Drosophila melanogaster: one gene and its partners. The gene in region 1 interacts genetically with each later gene. Each region holds a gene or a part of one and is shown in the gene's direction. Other genes may lie near its edges.

The links. A genetic interaction does not mean that the proteins touch.
Region 2: of Tl (region 1) and Akt, changing one suppresses a phenotype caused by changing the other (phenotypic suppression), as found in Drosophila melanogaster (3 studies listed by BioGRID).
Region 3: of Tl (region 1) and cact, changing one suppresses a phenotype caused by changing the other (phenotypic suppression), as found in Drosophila melanogaster (2 studies listed by BioGRID).

The regions. Positions count from the first base shown.
Region 1 is NT_033777.3:26,796,241-26,802,868, forward strand, and holds the start of Tl (toll), read left to right. Parts: upstream 1-2,800; 5' UTR 2,801-3,240; intron 3,241-6,628. UniProt on the Drosophila melanogaster protein: Receptor for the cleaved activated form of spz, spaetzle C-106. Binding to spaetzle C-106 activates the Toll signaling pathway and induces expression of the antifungal peptide drosomycin.
Region 2 is NT_033777.3:16,096,570-16,106,187, forward strand, and holds Akt (Akt kinase), read left to right. Parts: upstream 1-2,658; 5' UTR 2,659-3,091; intron 3,092-4,190; exon of another isoform or gene 4,191-4,210; intron 4,211-4,330; 5' UTR 4,331-4,374; coding exon of another isoform or gene 4,375-4,617; coding exon 4,618-5,157; intron 5,158-5,225; coding exon 5,226-5,423; intron 5,424-5,488; coding exon 5,489-5,878; intron 5,879-5,941; coding exon 5,942-6,175; intron 6,176-6,243; coding exon 6,244-6,390; intron 6,391-6,461; coding exon 6,462-6,545; 3' UTR 6,546-9,101; downstream 9,102-9,618. Other genes in the region: Mhcl (myosin heavy chain-like), read right to left, coding at 1-504, 567-1,019. UniProt on the Drosophila melanogaster protein: Serine/threonine kinase involved in various developmental processes. During early embryogenesis, acts as a survival protein. During mid-embryogenesis, phosphorylates and activates trh, a transcription factor required for tracheal cell fate determination.
Region 3 is NT_033779.5:16,322,248-16,329,190, reverse strand, and holds the start of cact (cactus), read left to right. Parts: upstream 1-2,983; 5' UTR 2,984-3,170; intron 3,171-3,565; exon of another isoform or gene 3,566-3,697; intron 3,698-3,770; exon of another isoform or gene 3,771-4,136; 5' UTR 4,137-4,163; coding exon 4,164-4,858; intron 4,859-5,673; coding exon 5,674-5,851; intron 5,852-6,020; coding exon 6,021-6,231; intron 6,232-6,943. Other genes in the region: mRpL4 (mitochondrial ribosomal protein L4), read left to right, coding at 109-779, 842-1,061; CG4278 (uncharacterized protein), read right to left, coding at 1,156-2,034. UniProt on the Drosophila melanogaster protein: Involved in the formation of the dorsoventral pattern. It inhibits nuclear translocation of the dorsal morphogen in the dorsal region of the embryo. Acts as a negative regulator of the NF-kappa-B (rel) signaling pathway.

The DNA.
Region 1 (6,628 bases):
GGGCGCAGTACTGAGGAAAAGCCAAAGTCAACGTCAAAGTTGAACGTGTCAGATACAATTCCATTGCTGGAGCTGAAACTGTTGTTTCTGCCGGGTTATGTCTTTGCGTTTTACTATTTCGGCTTTTGGGCCAAAGAAGAAGCTGCCAGCTGTTAATTGGAATTCGGACTGCCCTTGTTTTGGGTGCCGCTGTCATTCCCGCTTACGATGAAATTTATACAATCTTTCTATTTGGCAGCGCTCAGATCGGGCAGCTCGGGAAACAGAAAGATAAATATACAAAATTAACACGTACTCAGGTGAAAATGAGCAGGTAGTTACCCATGCGATAGCAAGTGTGTGTTCTTGTGTATGAAAGGACGTCTCACACACACACACACACACACAAGACCACCACTCGTTGAGCAAATAACCCCAATAAATAAGCCAAGTTAGACCGATTCGAGGGGCAAGAGGAGGGGGAGCCGAGTTCCAAGCCAAGATGTTCATGAAAAAAGTTAATTAAGGTGTTTGCCCCGCAACAACAACAAGGCCGGGCATTATATGCTAGATATTTATCTCCCGGCTGGGGAAAATGGATCTGGTTGCATGCCGCAGAGTGTTTGCTTTTGAAATGTTTGTCATTATCGTCGTTAACTTTTTGATGAGTCGAACGTGTGTGATAAAAGTGTCACACGGATTGAAAAGAGCGACGAGCGAAAGGAAAAGAAAAACTAATAACGCAGACGGGCCAGAATGAGTTTGTACGTGTGTGTGAAGAGATATATATATGGATGTTGGGGTATATGTATATAGAATGTATCTTTCGGATACCAATTGCCATTAGTTTATTGAGAATCCGAAATTTATGGCTCTGCGTGTCGTGGCCAACCACGCACAAATGGTCACAAATCTGGACCTGAAACACATGTGGGCCTGCCTTTGGTTCCTCCAGCATCTGTGGCACGTACAAATTTCATTTGTTGCACTATTTATGTGCTTCTCCACTGATGAAAATGAAATCAAATTAAATTTTCGGCACAATTCAAAGTGAAATTTTGCAGCTAACATAAAACAAGGCAAATGAGGAATAAATCTCCCGATGTGTGTCCTGTGCGCTGGGTTTTCCCATGTGGGTACATTGAATGGGAAATTACTGGAATTTCCTTTCGGTCAGAATTACATGCGCATATTTCGGTAATATCTTTGAAATTTACAGTAAATCCTAGGTATTTGAAATGAAAAACACGGGCAGTGTGGCAAATGTGTATATTAATGCATCTTTGCGGGGAGAAGTAGCCATTATGTTGCCTATTAAGCTTATCCAGATTTGCGTTGCTTTGTTTGATTTGACGTAAAGTTATTTGCTTGGAAAGAAAACATCTTAAATCCTTGAAAATTGTGGTGTAAGCCTAGTAGTAAACATTAAAATTGTTGTTGTAATATTTCAACAAATTTATTTAAATTTCAAAGACTTTAGATAATTACCAATTGGGAAATGGAATCAACACAAGATTGCTATGAAAATTGTACATGAATTCAAAGATTATTCATAAGCATGTCCTAATTTTCCATACGCCGTGCATAATTACAGAAAACACAGTTGCAGAGGGATACGATTTCCATTTGCATTTCCCATTCCCCGTCCCTGTCGCACTTCACACGCTGCTCCCCCGGGAGCTATGTCCCATCCTTGTTCCGCATTAGCAGAACGCACTTCCACTTCATTTGAGTCGCAAGCGGCAGAGCGAGAGGGTAGATGTTGTGGAAGTGTGGTTTTAATTGGCACACAACAACAACAGCAAGCAGTCTGCTACGTGCTGGCAATTACATTTTACATTTTACTCAGAGAGAGAGACTAATCAACTAATAAATCCATAATCACTGTTATTACGTATGCTGCCTGAGATGCTTAGACTTTGAAGTTAACCGGTTAAACTTGGCTAACAAGAACTGAGAACTACTGGCCAACAACAACTGCCGGCTTTTCCCCCAAAAATGAAAACAAAACAGTAGAAGGCTCTCTTGCTCTACCACTTTCTCTTATACTCTTATACGAAGTACCTGTATTTCAACTGTTTTCCTCTCTCGCATGACTTTTATCGCATGCGATTTGTTTATAGTGCAACGACCACAGACACGAAGATAATTCGTGTGTCTCTCTCTTTTTCTCCCACGCATCTGTACCTTCGAACGGTATTTGTGGGGTAGAAGAAATTGCTCGACTTATTATATCGTTTGCCACTCAGAAGTTAGGGAAAGAATTTTATTTTTTATAAAAATCCTAGTCAACTAACATAAATCAACTGAAAGCTCGATTCCTCATATTATCACATTGTGTTATTGCTACAAGAACTGTTGTTCTAAAAATTCTTATCAGTACGTCAAAAATATAAAAAAATTTCGAGACTAGCATTTTTATCCAACTCATATTTATTTATAATAAGCTGATTATATATAAAACCCAAACAGCTTTATAGAAATAACTTCACACGTTATTTAAGGTTAAAAAAGTAGCAAGATAGGATGTTATTAAAAGTAGAATATAAAAAATATAATAATAATTTAAAATGTCTTAACAAACTGGAGCTTAAGGAACCAAAAGCAAACAAAATGATATAAAACATATAAAGACTGTGACAAAATTATTAAAATTTAAAATAAAATATATTAATAGGCTGATTACAAATTTAAGTAAATAATGTTTTCTATATTGAGCAAAGGGTATCTTGCCGCCGACTCAGCCACTCTCTCGTCTTTCCCTCCACACTAAGCGCACTACCAGCTCTTCATCTCTCAGTTCTTCTTTCTTTTCGAGTCGAGTTCAGTTTGTTCCGAATCGCCGACGTGAACGCACGCTTGTCGCGCTTGTAGCAGTTGGATTTTTGATTTTCCCAGCCAGAGTCCCGCGTTCGTGTGTTGTGGGCCGCTTTTGTTTGTCTCGTTTTGTGGCCAGCGATTTGGCAACCGAATAAGCCAAGTTAAGAGCAACGCTACGCAGCACAAAATCCATAAAAACAAGAAACACAAGGCGCAATTAAATGCAAATGTGTGAAAGTGTAGCAAGCATTTAACCAAAAATAAAATCGCAAAAAATCGCGGCTTCAAAGTGCGAACAAGCGCGAACAGAGAAGCTAAACAACAGTGCCAGTGCGTGTTTGTTCGTGGCAGCTTAAGAAAAGCCAAATAAATATTAATATTTGCACAAGAGATCGCAGCGGAGTAGCTAACCTCACATTTAATAAAACACGTATTAAAACGGTAAGTATTTACGTCTCCTTGTTCAGTTATTACACTTTGAACCGTGCCATCTCGCTCTGTCTCGTTATCTCCCATTCGATTTTGCTTTGTGCTAAGCTTCGCTTGGCTCGCGCTAAGCTCAGCTATCTCTGTCCCACTCTCTGATCAGTCCAATTCGCCTATAATTGCACAGAAAAAAATTTACCAAATTGATGGCTCATCGGGCAATTGGTTGACATTTTGTTCCAGTTTTGATCACAGTCAGATAAAATCAATTTAAAGTACATAAAATGAGCTGTAAAATATTTGTAAACATCTTTAAATTGATCTATTAATACTACTACTACTACTACTACTACTACTAGTACTCTGCGTAAAACCGTATTTTTTCCTGTGCAAATTGGCGATGAATAACAGTTTCAGCAGTTGTAACCGTTGCACAATTTTCCCCAGTGCTTGTGTGTGTCACACTCTTGTTGTCCACAATTTCCGTGGTTTTTCTCGGCACTTTCCAGGGAAATGTGCAAAATGCTGCAGTGCAGCAGCAAGTGCTCTTCGGCCTTGGGGTGTGCTTTGCGTTTTGGCCAACCCATGAACGAAACAAAAAAGAAAACAAAGCCACACGCATTTGGCCCAAAGCTCACGAGCCAGCATATTAACACTTTGAATTTTTGGCCAAAAACCAGTTTGGAATCGAAAAAACAAACAGACACAACAAAAGTTTATTTACTACCAAAGAGAGCTTCGTTCAACAGGTTTTCATTGCGGGGACTTTTATTCGTATTGAAGGTGGAAATACCTGGGTAATGCAGGTTTCAAAAGTACTTCTAACAAACCAGAAAATGCCCACTTGTGCTTTAAAAGCTAATAAGTTGCTGATTAGAAACAGCAAAACAAAATAAGAGAAGAAGGAAGGGACAAGAATCTTCTCGCTTGTACCAATTATGGTAAAAATCGTATGACCTTATGATAAACTTAGACTTTTGTTTTTAATTCATTTCGATTCTTCTTGGGTTTTCCAACACCATAAATCTCTTCTTAGTTGATAGCCCTTGACCACTAGCTACATTTATATGAAAAATTCGGAAAACCCCAAGATTCAACCCCAAAAGTTCAACGATTATCGCTCAGAAGCAGCAGGTCTTGAATTCAAGAACAATGCTGTTTTAACAATAATTATACAATATATATAAATTTTGATTGTATTTTTTTCCGATAGTTAACATCCTGCCATTGAGCTTCTTTCGCCTGAGGGTTTTCCGAATAACTGTACTCTGGATTTAGGTTAAGATTTTTCTTCTTTGGCCCACATCAAAGGCAAAGAAGCTTTCAAAGCGGCTATAACAATGGCGGCAAACTGAAAAAAAAAAATGCTAGTCTTCGTCTGTGAAGGTAAAACTGCGGAAGTCATTTAACAGTCTACTTAACTTCTGCCAAAAAAAAAAGAAGTGAACGAAAAAAATGAAGTGGAAAACGGCAAACTGCAAACGTTCAAGATGCTCCGCTTGGGTCTTTCGTCTTGGCCACGTTAGAAAGTAGCTGTAATTGTGGCTCCGTTATTGTTATGGCCAAACCGCCACTAGTCCAACTGCAGGCGGTAAAAGTTGCCCAAAATGAATTGTCATACAAACACGTTTGTTATAAATATTTCTGCACAATGAGAGACTCATTTAAGATTCATTGTACTCGCTTTTTTAGTTGTTAGCTTTATTTTTCCCCCTCTCATTATTGAGGGCGTTTGTCCACTCGGTTGATAAGCGAAAAGGCAGAAAAACAATATTCAAAGCTGACTCCGCTTTGGTTTTTACATCTGCCAAGTGTTTTTTAGCTTTCTGCTATTTCACTCTTAGTTATTGGCGACTTGTGTTGATAATTAGCACGTCGGCTTTCAGCGTTTCTATGACTTGTGGTCCGCTCAGCGTGATGAGTCAGCCTCCTAAGCTGAAAAGAGCGTTACGATCGAACCACCATATGTCTTACTCTCCCGATCTCAGATCAGCGGGCGGTTTAACCCAAAGTCAAACCAGATCCGTGACGTAAATGGGAGACAAATACACGCAAAAAAAAAACAAGACTGAAGATCTGAAGATTGTATCTATAAGATCTGTTATTAAAGTGATATGTAATTACATACTACATTCTTATATGATGACTATAATGACTAATATAAACACGTTTTAATATAGTACAAGTTTATATTATATAGCGTAATATCATACTTACCGTATTGTTATCACCTGTTTTTTTTTAACAACTCATTTCTTTTCGTGTGATTTCAACGTGTGAGGTTTTTTACTCTCCAATCAGATTGAACTGAGATAGAACTGCCTGACCAGTCACAGGGCTTATTGCCTTGCATTCAATTAATTAATTTCAATTTTATTGCTTCAGCTGACCATAAAATCGTGAAGGGAGGAATAACCATAAGTTCCCCACTGCGACATTCTCTCGGTGGAGGGAAATGAAGTCGTTGCACTTGCTTTCACCCTAATGCCTTCATCAGCTGCACAAACGAAAAATCTCATTAATTTTCCACTTTCTGTCTATCTTTGGGTTATCTCTCCATTGTTTGTCCCCGTCCCAGTTCCCTTTATGTTCTTACTATTTTTTTTTTTTTTTGGCCCTACCTGCGTGCAGGAGTTTTCCCTCATGAAGTTTTCGGTCGCGACATGTTTTCTGATCCGTGTCCTGTGCTCTGGTCTAGTTCATTAGATGGACTTGGCTAATCGATTTCCATAATCAAACAGATGGCGCCAGAATATGAGAACGAGAATGAGACATAGCAAATGAAGCCGAGTAAATGTTGATATAATAAACCCCGTGTGGCAGGGCCAATTAGGCCTTACTCCTCACCTGTGACACAGCCACATATTTTCTCATTTGAATAAAGAAACACGACCACAGCAGGGGAAACATTAGACGCGCCTAAACGTAGAAATTAGCGGCCACAGAAAACGGGAGGGAAAAATTCCAAAAAAATAAACATACCGAAAAAGAGAAATTTAATTAAAGCCGCATAGAAAAAAATGCATAAATTTAGTCACCCAAAACACCCACCCACCTGGCATGTAATATTTGTAACCTCATTGCGGCGGCAGGGGAAAGGCGGTGTAATTTTCACGGTCCCCGATCTGCAGCTTTTCACCAACTTGGCGGGTCAGTCCGGCATAATGATTAGGGTCAGTGTGGGGTGGAAAGTCGGGAAAACTCCTGCCACCCAGCTGGAAAAGGAAAAGCAACAGCAGCGGCATAAGCATCAGCATCAGCAGCAGGTTGCCAACAATTTCTGCTTATAATTTTCCGTTTTTCATCCTCCTTTTCTTTTTGGCCCGCTTTGTTCTGGTCGAGATAAAAGCATTTGTCATTAGCATAAAATGTTCTGGCTCAGGTTTTGATCTGGAGTTTGGCC
Region 2 (9,618 bases), about 11 Mb from region 1:
ATCCTCGAAGGCATGGACGCGGGCCCAACGGTCGATGCCTTGGGACTCGCCGACGGGACTCAGCGAAAATGGGGGTGTGGCGAAAGAGGAGTTTGTGGTATCTGTGAGACTGTCGGCGCTGGGCGACGGCGAGGTGAGCACATGGAGGTGCGATCCTTGACTGTTGCCCTGGGGTAAAGCTCCATAGCGGGCGTTGGCCGGCAGGGTCATGGCCCGTTGTTGACCTCCTGTCTGCTCTCCATCGCTGCGCAGGCTCTCCACGGAAGTGAACGAGGTTCCATGCTGACTGGAGTTCGAGCCGATCGAACCAGCTCCCCTGGCAGCTCCCTCGTAAAGGGATTCATTCTGAAAGGTGTTGCGCAATAGCATCTCTGGCGTGCCACCTGCTCCTCCGGCACTACCCGCAAAGCTAATCTCCTCGTGGACATTGGTCATATTACTGCGGGAGCCTTTCAGAATGCCACGCTTGGGTGGTTTTGGGGGTATAGGTGGAAGAAAGCGATTCTGGAATGTGGAAGCAAAGTTTTTCAATACGATTTCGGATAAGAAAACGACAAAGACCTCACCTTGAGCCCTCCAGAGAGGAGAGAATGTGTGACCTCGCTGTAGTTGACACTCACGCCGGCGCCATTGGACGCTCGGCTCTCGATGTGCGTCATCACAGATGCTACAATCTCCTCATTGCCACGATCCTGCTCGGGATCTGCAGCTCCCACTGCTCCTCCGTTGCTTCCGCCGTTTGCATCTGCATTGAGGGCGGCAAAGAAGTCTGCGCTATAGTCCGCCGTAATTCCGCTCGGCAACTTTTCCTTCTCCTTGCGTCGCCCTCGGATTTTAAGCGATCGGCGCACCTCGTCCAGGCGGAGCAGCTCGTCGGTGCTCATGCTGCCGGTGACGCCAGTCACGCCTCCCATTCCCGGGCCACCAGAGGTGCCCTTAGCCTCTTTGCGCAGTTTTTTTTCGCGCTTGCGACGCTCCTTGTCCTCATCCCCAGCGCTCTTCTTCATAAAGTTGAACATCTTATGTGGTGTGTGGGGTCCTTAGGTGCTAGCTGCGGAAGGGGGGCGTTGGTGGGTTAATGCGAAGTTCAAGGGCGTGACCAAAAGTCTGGACTAATTCGATTTGCACTGTTCTCTTTGCTGCGCTCTATCCAGGGGTGGATCTAGACAAACGTGCAGGGCATACCGTTCATTTCCAAACTTGAAATTACAACTTACATTTTTAAAATCAGTAACACAATTTTAATTCACTGAATAGTTTAAAGTACGGTATTTATGTGATTTGATTTTACAAAAACATTTAAGGTGCCCATAATCCACGTTTAAGGTCCCCTGGATTTCGCCCCTGTACTGCTCAGTCCTGTTCTCTTCGTATTGCTATCTCGCTCTTACAATTGCACAGCCACTTCGAGCAATGCACCCGCCCGCACAACAACCGTTATCTTGCCACGGTGTTTGTGTGAATGTGCACATTTGCAAATCACATAAACAATGGCATATTTCTTCACTTTTGCACCCACATTTCTTCTGCTGCGGTGGCGGCTTTACTTTTGTCATTGAGTCGTTGCCATTTGCCCTGTTTCTGTTATTATTTATTATTCAATTATGCGCTTTCTTTTCCACAGCTAGCATACATTTGTTTTGTTTTCACACGGTAACACACACACACACAAAGAAAGGGGGGCTCGTGGCTGCGTTGGTATTGATTGCTCGAGACTGCACTCTTCCCTTCTCTCTACACCATCTCTTCATATTTTTCATTTCTCCAACTAATTGAATGCAACCGATTCTGCCTCATTACTTATGCTCATGCTTTTCCAATTGCTCATATTCGGCGAACGCTCTTATTCGGCCACAGCCCACAGTGATACACACGATAGGCAGAAAAAGAAAGTTGAGAGTCAATAACACCTTTGTTTTTGCACTTTTCTACGCCTTTTTTGATAACACACACAAACATTGGGAGGGACTCACGCACACACAGTCGCGCTGGAGTCGTTATTTGTTTATTTGAAAGTGGCATGCTATGTTCTCCCTTCCGATTGGGTTGCAAGTTATTTACCTCGTTTTGTGCCAATGGGGCACTTTATTCGCTACTCGTTTTTTGTTTTTTTTTCGGATTCAAAGGAGACTTCGCGTTCTGCATAAACAAATCTGAGCAAGAGTGCCCAAAGAGGTGAATATCAAATTTGATCTGGGAAACTGGAAAAGAGAACTGACTTTTTCTAGCTACTTACACATGGTCATACTTATCAGAGTATCTACTTAGTGCGGACAGGAACCATATATAAAATTGATAGGGCTTCCAAATTTTTGATCAATTATGCTTTGAAAAGTTATAACAATTTGTCGATATAAGAAATAGTTTTGTATACATAGCATATAAAATAAAGTTTTTAAAAATGAATTTAATAACAATACAGCATTATTATTAATCTGCAGTTCATACATTCAAATTTGAAGTGAATTCTAGTTAAAGAGTCGGCCTAGACAGTCAGAAAACAGAACTATTGCCTTCTAAAACATTTAATTTAAATTTAAGGGATATTTGCGCGTTGTACAGCTCTTAAATAATGTCTCTCTCTGGCATCTTTCCACCGTAACAGTCGCCTAACTATCGCTAAAACAGGTGGCAACGCGGATCGAATCAGTTATCGAGCCAGTTATCGAAAAAAAGTGAAGCGTAAAAACTAAACGGTACTTGGAAAATTTACTTTGCCTGTGTGCGTGCTTCTGTTTATGAAAACTACGTTTTTAAGCATTTGCAATTGATGCAACGTTGCTTTGGAAGGCAAGAAAACACCAAGTGGAAACGCCCGGGTGGCGGAAATCGACTTCCAGTGCGCGAGTGCGAGATTGTGTGTGTTTCGTTCCGTCCTCTGGTGTCTGGCACCTTAACACAACAACAACTACAGCAGCAGCAGCAACAACAACAATAGCAAGCAGCAACAACAACACACGCACAATAATAAGAAGGCCTGTGACGTTGTCGCTGCCGTCACCATCTAAAGGAAAATACCAAAACGAGTAGGAAAACAAACCGCAGTGCAGTAGGGAAAGCAAAAGTCGGGTTTTTTTTTTTACAAAACTAGGTGGGTTCTTGTATTTTTCACCAGCATTTCCACAATTTCCATTTCCACGAAGTGATTTGACATGTTGCGCTGCTAGGTCGCCGCTGCCCACACACACTCGCACACTCGGTGGTTCACTCACTCAGCCACTCACACCCACACGGCCAGACAATCACACGCACACGGCCAGACACTCACACATACACTCACACTCATACACCTTTGTGGCAGACACGCGTACTGTCTGTCTCCCTCCCCCTCGCACCCACAGTCTGGCCTCACTCGCACTTTGCAATGCAGCCCTGTCTGTGTGACTGCCTCGGTGTGCGAGCGCCTGTCCGCTTATGCCTGTGTGTGTATTTTGTCGATTTTTATTTTATGTACATTTGTTTACAGTTTTAGATAGATAGCGACATTTGTACAGCCGGCGGCCATCCGTCGTTGACATTTTCGCAAATTGTAAATGAATATGCTTTTGCTTTTGCAGTTGTGCCAGTGTGAGTGCGAGTACGAGTGCGAGTGCCGCCTGCGAGTCCCCTGTATGTGTACATATGTATATGTATGTATTATATATGCATATACATAAGTTCATGAACAGTCGCCGCCGTCGACTTGTTTTGATTTAATTTCGCGCTAAATGCAATCGCGAACAATTTTCACTCGTATCGCCGTGTCGCTGCGTAACATGGCGGGGAATTTCGTTTGAAGCCGAAAGTGGCAGCAACAACAAGGCGACGATGGCGCCTACATCTGCATGTGGGCCAGTGACTAAGAATCCAATCCCATACCATGCCACACCATACCAACCCATCCAATTCGATACAATCAGAATCACAGTCCTCAATCCAATTCAATCCCTTTCTGGCGACGGAAATGCCGCAAATGTTTTGCACCAGCTGCTGACGCAAGCGCCAACTGCATTTGTCATAAACATGCAAAATGACAATAACAATTGTTTACTATCAGCGTGAGATAGGCGATGTGGGAAGTATATATCTGGATAGACTTGGCAGCCTTTTAGTGTCTGTTTCCCCTTTTTTGATAGCTAGCTCATTTGGGAACTCCATTTGTCCACTTTGACTAGTTTATGTCGACAGTTGGCGGATCAGTTAATATCTAGTACATGTTGAATCCCTGAAGGTAAAGGTGTTACTAGACGAACCCTCTGCTAAAGCCTTTTTCTTTTCGTCGATCGCATTCTTAGTTTAAGTATTTCAAACTCAGCATGAATATAAAGGATTCACTGTACTCCTCTTACAGGTCCCTCATTAGCTTGTCCCTAGGGTTAGTGAAACAGCCTCAACACGAATTACCTACCGTTTGTTCTTCAGCGGCGATCGACTGTGGTTGCCAGCGCCCCAGCGCCAGGATCTGCCTCTAGGATCCCGGAATCGCCCACCACCACAGGGAGCAACATCATTAACATCATCTACAGCCAATCCACCCATCCAAACAGCAGCCCCACCAGCGGCAGTGCAGAGAAATTCAGCTGGCAGCAATCCTGGCCAAGCAGGACCTCCGCGGCCCCTACACACGATTCCGGAACCATGTCAATAAACACAACTTTCGACCTCAGCTCGCCCAGCGTTACATCGGGTCATGCGCTTACGGAACAGACTCAGGTCGTAAAGGAGGGGTGGCTGATGAAGAGGGGCGAGCACATAAAGAACTGGCGCCAGCGCTACTTCGTGCTCCACTCCGATGGAAGACTGATGGGTTACCGCAGCAAGCCGGCAGATAGTGCCAGCACGCCATCGGACTTCCTGCTCAACAACTTTACGGTGCGCGGCTGCCAGATCATGACCGTCGATCGGCCCAAGCCATTCACCTTCATCATCCGCGGCCTGCAATGGACCACGGTAATCGAAAGGACATTTGCCGTCGAATCAGAATTAGAGCGCCAGCAGTGGACGGAGGCCATTCGCAACGTATCCAGCCGGCTCATAGATGTGGGTGAGGTGGCTATGACGCCATCTGAACAGACAGACATGACAGACGTGGACATGGCCACCATTGCCGAGGACGAGCTTTCCGAGCAGTTCTCCGTACAGGGAACGACTTGTAATAGCAGCGGCGTTAAGAAAGTGGTAAGTACCACTCACCTGGTCATTGACCAAGGGCGTGATCGAGCTGACTCCATCTTATCTCCTTGTAGACTTTGGAGAATTTTGAGTTCCTCAAGGTGCTCGGCAAGGGCACCTTTGGTAAGGTTATTTTGTGTCGCGAGAAGGCTACCGCCAAGCTGTACGCGATCAAAATTCTTAAAAAGGAAGTTATTATCCAAAAGGACGAGGTGGCCCATACCCTGACCGAGAGTCGTGTGCTCAAGTCCACAAATCATCCGTTCCTCATTGTAAGTATTGCTAGTAATATATAATTTACGTTAAAAAACTAATATATGTCTTCCCTGTTTTGCAGTCACTCAAATATTCGTTTCAAACCAACGACCGCCTGTGTTTTGTGATGCAGTACGTGAACGGTGGCGAGCTCTTTTGGCATTTAAGCCACGAACGCATATTTACTGAGGATCGAACACGTTTCTATGGGGCAGAGATCATTTCTGCTCTGGGCTATCTGCATTCACAGGGCATAATTTATCGCGACTTAAAGCTGGAAAATCTTTTGCTGGACAAAGATGGTCACATAAAGGTCGCAGACTTCGGTCTGTGCAAGGAGGACATCACCTACGGCCGCACAACGAAAACCTTCTGCGGTACACCGGAATACCTAGCTCCGGAAGTATTAGATGACAATGATTATGGCCAAGCGGTGGACTGGTGGGGCACTGGCGTGGTCATGTACGAGATGGTGAGTTTGTTGCATCTGCAAATACTATTAACAAGTATTAAAAACAAAAATAATTCCTTACAGATCTGTGGTCGTCTTCCGTTTTACAATCGTGATCATGATGTGCTCTTTACATTGATTTTGGTGGAGGAGGTAAAATTCCCGCGTAATATCACAGATGAGGCGAAAAATCTGTTAGCAGGCCTTCTAGCTAAGGATCCCAAAAAGCGTTTGGGAGGTGGAAAGGATGATGTCAAGGAGATACAAGCACATCCATTCTTTGCGAGTATTAACTGGACAGATCTAGTGTTGAAAAAAGTAGGGCACAGTAAATCTGTCAGTTACCTATTCGTATATATTAATCGAATTTAAAATGCTTACCGTAGATACCGCCGCCTTTCAAGCCTCAGGTGACATCCGATACGGATACAAGGTACTTCGACAAGGAGTTTACGGGAGAGAGTGTGGAGTTGACGCCGCCGGATCCCACTGGCCCGTTGGGCTCCATAGCCGAAGAGCCGCTTTTCCCGCAGGTAAGATCTAGTTGAAAACATTTAAAGTGGGGTTCTGTATGCTCATCCAATTTTTGGTTTCACCGCCACAGTTCAGCTACCAAGGAGACATGGCCTCCACGTTGGGCACCTCGTCGCACATTAGTACTTCCACAAGTCTCGCATCGATGCAATAGAACAAGTTTACAAACTTTTACCAGCACACATCATGTTCTGCTTCATCACCTATTACTATACTATACCTATAACACATAGAAATGGGCAAAAGAAAACAACAGCAAGAATATATTAAATATTAATTATACCATGATAACGAAGGCAAGCAAAGGGTTTTCTTGCTAGTTTATATACACCAATAATAAGAGAATTGAATTGATAGTAACTTATTTTTGTATAATGAGAAAGGGAACGTTGAACGAAAGGGCAACAGCCGAAGCCGAGGAAAATAATTTACTACATATGATTATACACATATATATAAATATATATATATATATATATATAATTATATATACAACTAAATATAACACTTGGGGCATAGCGCTTGAAGTGATTAGTTAATTTTAAACGCAAGGAAAACATTTAACCAAGCGACTTAGAGCGACTTAGTGCTAGGATAAAGCATGCATCATCGGATCGCATCCTCTAGGGGTCGCTTAAGCTGATTGATTATACAGATTATTCACGCAGACAGCACTCACACAGCCACTTAGCATATAGCGAACATGAAGTTTAGTTAACTTGACAGCAACAAATCGAAATACACATATTCAACAACCGCCCCCACATGCAACACTCGTATATATAAATTATTTATACTCCAAAGAAGCAAAAAAGAAACAGAAACAATTACAAGTTATATATAATGTTAAAATTGCCTCTAATGTGCTGTGCTTTATGCAAAACTACAACAACAGAAACAAACAAACTAATAGTTAATAAACGAGGGAAACATACATCAATGCAGTTTATAGGCGCCAATAATTAGCAAGCAACTAAAAGTTATATTCAGGCAGAAACATATTTCGAAACAATAACGGCAACAGCAAAATGATTACAATTGACGCCATTTTTTATTATAATTTTTTACGAAAAATATATATTTGTAAATATTTATAAAAAAAAAGCAAAAACTCAAGAGTAAATGCAAAAAAAAAACAAAGGATGTATGTGTCGTGTGGAAAATGGAAGTCACCATTTGAGGCCACAGAAAAGGTTTAACCTTTGACACAATAAAAAATGTATCTTTGTCATTTCATTTTTGGCATTGAAAAGTTCATAACAAGTTTTGTATACTTAGAGCAAGTCAGCAAAAAATATATATAAATCAACCACAACAGACTTACAAATAGTTCCAAAAGGAAGATTAAAAATTATATAAACAGAAAAAAAACCTAAAAGAAAATAAAGAATTTTTGATATTTTTATATGCGCAATAAAAACAAAAATCAAGAATAAAACGAAACAAAAAGTTATTTTATATTTCGTAAAGAAAACAAAATAAATATTGTAAATAAAAATTATTAAATAAAATCAAGTTCGGGAATTTCAACTGAAAACAAAGAAATTGAAAGCATAATCTCTCTTCTAAATGTTAAACGAAACCTATCACTCGATGATTACAATAAACAGCAAATCGAAAACGAAGGGATATAGAAACGAAAAGAAAATGCCAAAGAAGCGGCGAAGTTAGGTGGAACTCGAGGAGAACCGAGAATTGAGGAGCCAGCAAGTCGGGATGTTTCGGTTGGAGTCTTGGACATGTGACGATGATGGTTCCAAATCATGACTAGGAACGAACTAACTAGCTAAAGCCAGCCTATGCTGAGGAGAGATATCAGATAGCTCCGATTGAACCAATCTTTATATCCTTGAACAGCTTAAAGTCCTTGCTTTCTGCTCACCAAGTTTGCGGCTGACATCTAGGCTAGCCAATATCAATCTCAGATCGATCAAGCAATACATAGACAAAATATAGAACCCCTAAGCATGGCTTAATAGACATACAACCCGAGAATCGACTTCAACAAGCCCAATAACCCTTCTGACAGACTCGTTAGGCAAGTCTGCCAGCCAAGGGGCAACCAGCTAGAAATCTAAAGCAAAGACTTAGAAATCGGTTAGGGACATCCGAAGCAAATTGAATACTAGCCTTAGTGAACGTCAACATCTCTGGTATCCCAAATCGAAGCATTTTCTACCCGTCGAAGGGGACGAAAGAGACCTTTCAAAATAGTTGTCTAAGTTTACTGAGTTGTGTGAGACAATTTTTGGTTTCGATTAAAAAAAAAAAAACAAAAACTTACACGAACTGCAAACTACAATGTGTTCTAAAGCGATATAATAAAACAACATGGTTTAAAATTGACTATATATAGAAAGAAACCGAGAGAGATATAACCAGTCAGATCATAGATCATCTCGAGCAACTTGAGTTGTTTTTTGTATTGTAAAATAGAAAAAGATAAACCCGTTCCAACAACCGAGATCCAGATCCAGATCCAGCCCCCAATACTAACCGAAAATTTGATTAGGAGTAATTTTTGATAGGCGAAAATGCGAGTTTCGCACAGTTTTAATTATTAATTATATTAAATAAAGATAATAATGACTAAGCTGATTTATAAAACGATTCAAGATCGAACTAAAACATACATATACATGCATTCAAACCAAGTTTATTATACAGTGAAAACATAATAATAAAACTACATAAAACCAAACTACTATGCAAAACTTTTTTATTTGGAATATGGGACACGTTTTGTATTTTTTTTCATATCCATCCTGCTGTAATGATTTAAATAATTATGCTTTTGAACTTTTACGTAAAAGTATCAGCAATAAAAATTCTTTGCACCTCGTCCTACAGCAAAATTGGGTCAAGAAAACTATGTAAAAACGAGGGAGCATCTGAAGTGGATGTGGAAATGGAGGAAGCGGAAAAAAAAACGCACTGGCCAAGCGCCAATGACCGACTTAAGTATTCGGGAGCAGCAGCTCGAATCCGAGGAGTGGGCAGGCCCGGGGTCCGACTTCCACCTTCGGATCCCCACGCCCGATCCCATCGCCGTTGCCAGGGAACGCGAACAATGCGTTTTGTCCGATGATTAATTGCATCGCAATCTTGGGGGCCACAGAGTGGCGAACGCAGTGGAGGCAGCTTTCCCCTAACCTCGAGTATACATAAGTGTTCGCCACATTTAGCATTTAGTATATACAGACAGAATGTGTGTCGCTCCAGCCCGC
Region 3 (6,943 bases), on another chromosome or scaffold:
TTTCGTGTCACGGTGTAGCCTCAGTATTCACCAAGTAATCGATATACGGCGTTGAGGTGCCCATGTTTAATCTAGCCTATCGATAGACCTTACCGCCTGCAAAGTAAAATGTTGAACAATATTTTAAAAACATCCAGGCAGGTGCTTTATCCCGTAGCAAGGACTTTCAGCCGCAGCGGCAACCACGGCAATGTGGTGACCGAAGCCGCTGCGACAGTGGGCGCACCTCCGGCCACAAGATCACCCCTTATTCTGCCGCAAGATTACACAGATTGCTTGCCGGTGAGCAGGAACACGGCGCGCCAGGCATGGATTGAGAACACGGATGCTGTGGCGGAGCGAAAGGTTGGCCTGATTGAACTGCATCCGGATGTCTTTGCCGCCCAGCCGCGCGTGGACATCATACAGGAGAATGTGGAGTGGCAGAGCAAGTATCGTTATGTAAGCATGGCGCACACCAAAACTCGAGCGGAGGTGCGCGGTGGTGGTCGGAAGCCGTGGCCCCAAAAGGGAGGTGGTCGTGCCCGCCACGGTTCCCTCCGTTCGCCCATGCTGAAGGGCGGCGGCGTAGTGCACGGACCCAGGTCGCCTACGACCCATTTTTACATGCTGCCCTTCTATAAGAGGGTTTTAGGATTGACCTCCACGCTGAGTGTTAAGCTGGCCCAGGATGATCTGCACATCATCGATAATGTGGACATACCCACCGGAGATGCAGAGTTCCTTAAGGATTTAATCGCCGAACGGAATTGGGGACCTTCTGTTTTGATTGTAGACGAGTGAGTTCTGCTTGTAGGTGAACATATAATATGTAAATTGATACTGATTCTGTTTTTCTCAGAGACCATATGTTCCCCGCCAATATTTGCCAGGCTAGCGATGATCTGGGCTATGTCAACCTGATGCCAACCTTTGGCTTGAACGTCTATTCTATGCTGAAGCACGATACTTTGGTGCTGACAGTGGCTGCAGTGAAACATCTGGAGCAGCGCCTGCTCTACCAACTTAATCGAAACGACGCCGCCAGCAAGGGCGGCAAGTTTAAGCTGGATCAAGTCTAGAAGTTAAGAAAGTTAAATCCTTTAGTTTATTTGTAACCTTTATGGATGCGCCAGAAAATGCATTGTTAAACAAAAAATGCTTATAAGATCAAAGTTATTTTGATGTGCTCTTGTAGACGTCAACAAATGCGCTTAGTTCTTTGTTTATATCGCTAGCCACGGTGACCAGAGGATCCTTGTCCACTTCAGATACAAATACCAGGCATTCTTCATTTAAAGATTTGGCCAATATAGGGCAAAACTCATGGAGAAAACCCCTTTCTGAATTACTATGATTGCAGAGAAGAACGGTGGTATTGTTGTGAGTAAACTCCAGAACTTCGTGATGGGACATTTCGCCGGTAATGATAAGATCCGCTTGGATACCCTTCAGCAGAGATGCTCCAGAGCCGGCACAAATGCCGACGGATTGGATGAGTGTCTTGGGGGTGTGGCCCACAGCTAGAGCAACGTGCACGCTGTTTCTAATGCGCTTTTGCAGAGACTCCACCACCTGGGAAAGCTCCATTTTGGTTTCTATATATCTACCGGATCCGGTACCCGGAGGAGCACCCAACTCCGGTTCCAGAGGGCGGATGCTGATGATATTCACTGCCTTAGATAGCCAGTCGTTGACGCCACCACTCTTCTTATCCCACGCCGTGTGGGGCGAGTACAAGGCTATATCGTTGGCCAAGCATGCTGCCACCACGCGCTCCTTCCAATGTGACTGCGTAATCCTGGTCAGGGGCTTGAAAATTGGCGGATGATAGCTGATTATGAGCTCCGCCTCCTTCTCTAGCGCTTCTTTCACTACGGGCTCGGTTAAATCGTTAGTTAATAGTATTTTCTTGATTTGTTTTTCGCGGTGCGGTTCGATCAGGAGTCCCACATTGTCCCACTTCTCTGCCCAAGAAGTCGGAGCAAAGTTCTCCAGCTCCTTGACCACAGCCGCCAGCTTTTGACCACTAAAAGTGTTCATCCTTCTCAGCATTCCTTGACGTCCTTTGCAAAATATTTCTGGTCCTGCGTTTAAGATTTTGTGCAATTGACTTATTGGCCGGTAAGTGCTGCCAACTTAATTTTTGTTGTTTTACCTGCTCTTAAAATCATCTGTTATCACCCGCAATTTTTAAATTGGGCGATAAAGTAATTGGTTAATATTAATAAACATTAAAAAACACTACTATAATTTTATTAGCAGGTCACATTTTTGTTGCGTAATTTTGTTAGAAAAACATTTAATGAATATTTGGATTTTATAATAACGAGAATAGCAAAACAGTTTTAATAAAACGATAAAAGTTTATGTTATAGCAAACAAATAATTAGAAATTAACAAAATATTTAAAAAGTTTATATACCTTAATAAATTTATCAGATTGGCACCAAACACTTGTTTTTAATAGAAAAACGAACGCCTGATAAATAATAATTCAAGAAATTCAATCGGAAGCCGAAGAATTTAAATTTTAAAGAATAATTTAATTAAGTCATACAAAAGCAAAAAGCAAAACCCGACAAGGAAATGACCAAACCCCTAAAACTGAAGAGTAATTTACAAATTCCCAGCAATTTAATCAAAATTTTAGGAAACAAGTCCGATTTTTTAATAACCTATTTGTTATAATAAATAACTTTACAACTACGAGAGGCGGAATTTTAAATTTTAAATTAAAAAAGCGAGCAAAAACTTTCGAAACTACTTGTGACCGTAAACACAGGTTTTATGGTAAGAATCTGATAATCTTGTAAAGCCCCTCTAAATTTCTTGGATTCAGATAATTTTTTAATCAATACAACCTTGTAAAAACCAAAATAATCGTATATATAATATTTCATGAATTGGCGATAAAATGTGATTGAGTGTTAAAAAATCCCAGAAGGAGAGTGTATGACAAATCGGTCGCTCAGAATATCCCATGAAATTCAGAATTGGTCGAGGTTTCAATCGAAGCTGACCTGTGAAAAACCGAAGAAAGAATCCTGCATTTCATTTCCGTTCTCGGTCAGCGGGTGATTTCCCAGATATTTGTCCGCCTCGCCGTCATACGCATTTCAACCGTAGGACGCCGAGCATCAACATCAAGTGGCTTCGCTCGAGGAACTAAACAATCACACAATCAGAGAGTAAGAAGTATAAATAAACGCATCGCTGCTGTGGTTGCTTTTGTTGCAGCTGACCATTTAGCTGCTCATTTTGTTGTTGGGAGATTTTAACTTGGCGCTCTCCCTACTATCTGGCAACCCTATGGTCTCCCTCGCACACATGTAAAACTGATTTAAGCCCCGATTACACACTCCATCGTCGATATATTAAGGCAAACGTTTTCACTTCGGTCTTTTCAAGTCTAGAATTTTATTTTTTTTGGGCAAATATGAAAAAATAGATTTTTTTCAATTAACAGTTTTCTAAGTAAAGAAAATTTAAAATCGAGACTCTTCATTTCGTGATAACTCTTAGTGCAAACGGGGCTTTATAGTATAGACTGCCATATAAATATATACATATCAGCGCGCTCCCTCAATTTCATTCGCTATCGAAACGTGAAAGAAAGCAGACGTGCGTCCGGGTACTATGCGAATTGCAGATTACAAACATTTAAACCATAAATACGCGTTTTAAAGACAGCTTCGCAAGACAATTAACCAGCAAGGTAGTGAGAAATCCATAGAAAATAGTGCTGGGGTTTAAACCCAGAACATGTGCAGAAAATAAAAAGCGAAAAGGAAGCTGTGTGAAAAGGGAGATAAAAAATCTACCTCAGTGTGATTGTGGGTGTGTGCGGGTGAAACAACCGTGAAGAGGCAAATAAGACATTGGCAAATGGAAAAATCTAAAATTTTCAACCAGTGTGAAACCGTAATTTTTATTTTTCTGCGGCTACACTTGTACATAAGTCCATAAATTGCCTTTAATCTACAAAAATTATTGCGTTTTCACTTGTTCGCTGGAGCCTATATGTTTGTTTCACTCGCACCACCGAGGTGAGCGCTTACTGTGCGTGTGTATGTGTGTGTGTTTGAGAGACTGGGCTCAAAAGCAAAGTTCAAAACGACAGGAGTATATATATAACATATATACATATATTTTAGCCCAACTGAGAGAGGAAAAGCACGAAAATGCCGAGCCCAACAAAAGCAGCGGAGGCAGCAACAAAGGCAACAGCAACAAGTGACTGCAGCTGCAGCGCTGCCAGTGTTGAGCAGCGCGCCCCCTCAAACGCGGCTAACCCCTCGTCCTCACTAGCCACTAGCGGTAAAATTGGCGGCAAAACACAAGATCAAACGGCCGCCATTAACAAGCAAAAGGAATTTGCCGTGCCAAACGAAACCAGTGATTCGGGCTTCATCTCCGGCCCGCAATCCTCGCAGATCTTCAGCGAGGAGATAGTCCCCGATAGCGAGGAACAGGATAAGGATCAGCAGGAGTCGGCACCCCAAAAGGAACAGCCCGTTGTCCTCGATTCCGGTATTATCGACGAAGAAGAGGATCAGGAGGAGCAGGAGAAAGAGGAGGAGCACCAGGACACCACCACTGCCACCGCCGATTCAATGCGACTCAAACACAGCGCGGACACAGGCATCCCACAATGGACCGTCGAAAGCCATTTGGTCAGTCGCGGCGAACAGCTTAACAATCTCGGCCAGAGCAGCAGCACCCAAATCACCGGTCGCAGCAAGGTTCAATCCTCCACAGCCAGCACGGCGAACGCGAATCCTTCGGGATCGGGAGCAACATCATCCGCTCCGCCCAGCAGCATTAATATCATGAACGCCTGGGAGCAGTTCTATCAACAAAACGACGACGGCGACACGTAAGTAAACATTATAGAATCTCAGGAAATGTCACTTTATTCTAGACTTTCAAATTATTTATATATGTGCAAACCACATTTATAGATAACTTCGAATGTGTATTTTTAATGTGGGGAAATTCCCAAGTATGATTTAAACATTTTAGCGCCTTATCTCTAGGTCACTTTAAAAACTTTCCCATGCTTATTCTTAGACTAGCAATCATAAGAACTTTATATTTTAAATATTTTATACAATTGGACGGTATTTTTTGAAATTGGAAACGATTGATTATATTTAGACTGTCACAATCGCCAAAAAAAAATCTTTATTAGAATTTAGGTCTTCATGCTCTTAAAAATCAATTTAACATACTCATTGACAATTCACGATTAAAGATTTATAAGCACAGTCTTTGAATCATTTCCGAATTTCTATGAACTTATACGTGCCGTATTTCCGATGAGAATCCTAAAATTTCCCAAAATAACAAAGACAACGCCGCGTTGCACTGATGACCACCAAGCGAGCTAAGGGGAGAGTTTCGTGAATCACTCAAAGACGATTGTCTGAGGCGAGAAACGCGACTGACACATGTGTTTTAGTCAGGCTTTGGGGTTTTCCTGGTATGTGGGCAGGTACGGGAACAGGTTTTTCGGGGCACCTCTTCTTTCTTCACATTACTTTACCTCTACTTAACTTACTTGGGTTTTTACGCCGCCACATGAACGGCGACAAGTGTACAGGAAGGAAAGAAAGTGCGGGTGTTCGATCGCCAGGTAAAAGAAACCCACAAATTCATGTTGTTTTTTTTGCTCTCTCTCTCTCATTTCAGACCTTTGCACCTGGCCTGTATTTCGGGATCAGTGGACGTGGTGGCCGCCCTGATTCGCATGGCTCCTCATCCGTGCCTGCTCAACATCCAGAACGATGTGGCCCAGACACCCCTTCATCTGGCCGCTCTTACTGCCCAGCCGAACATCATGAGGATACTTTTACTCGCCGGAGCTGAGGTAATATTCAACAAAGATCGAATAAGAAGATTTAGATATTTGCATATTTGTAAAATCTAGCTTAATCCCCTATTGACGAATGTAATGTCATATCATCTTGATTTTCTAACAAAAGCTAATTTAAGTATTTATATTTGTAACAAAAGATTCCCATTACTCATTTGAATAGCCCACGGTGCGCGATCGTCATGGAAACACAGCTCTGCATCTTTCCTGCATCGCCGGAGAGAAACAGTGCGTCCGTGCCTTGACAGAGAAGTTCGGCGCCACGGAAATCCATGAGGCCCACCGACAATATGGACACCGATCCAACGACAAAGCGGTCAGTTCCCTGAGCTACGCCTGCCTGCCCGCCGATCTGGAGATTCGCAACTACGATGGTAAGTAAAGTGCTAGTTACATATACCGCACTCAAGCAATAATAATTAGTTAATATTACTGATTCCACAATTTCGTATAGATAGCAATATATTATTGCTTGGGTATGGAAATCACGAGCTATTTGTCTCGCAAACTTGTAGGAATTTTTCCGTTCTAGTAAAGTGAATATTTTTGGCCCAGCATTTTCAGGCATTTATCATTAAGAATATGAATCTGTGCCAAAAATGTACCAATTATATAAAGCTCTATATATGAACATATACATATATGATATAAATGGTGTCCCGCCAACGGCTAGCCAAACTGCGAGACATTGTCGTCTGCCATATAGTACACATTGTATATATGTACGTTATAGACGTACATATGGTTATGGGCTATATAGACGCCTTTGAGCAGATGCCAAAAATACATTGGCCTCCCCGAAACATTTCGCTTGAAATTTTCGCTCGTCAAAACGTTTAAAAAAAAAGCAAGCCCCCTCCCTGTTCCTTGTTCATTTGCGTTATTGATTAACCAAAATAAACGAAAAGCACAGAACGCACAGAAGCAGAACATTTGCAAAGTTTCAGACGTCAGCAAAGTATAAAAAAAAAAACAATTTTACACAAGGATAGGTAAATATTTATTTGTTTGCTGGATGTGGAATCTGAAATACACATTTACATAAGCTCATTTCGAAATGGAAATTCATGTATTTGCTCTGTCTTA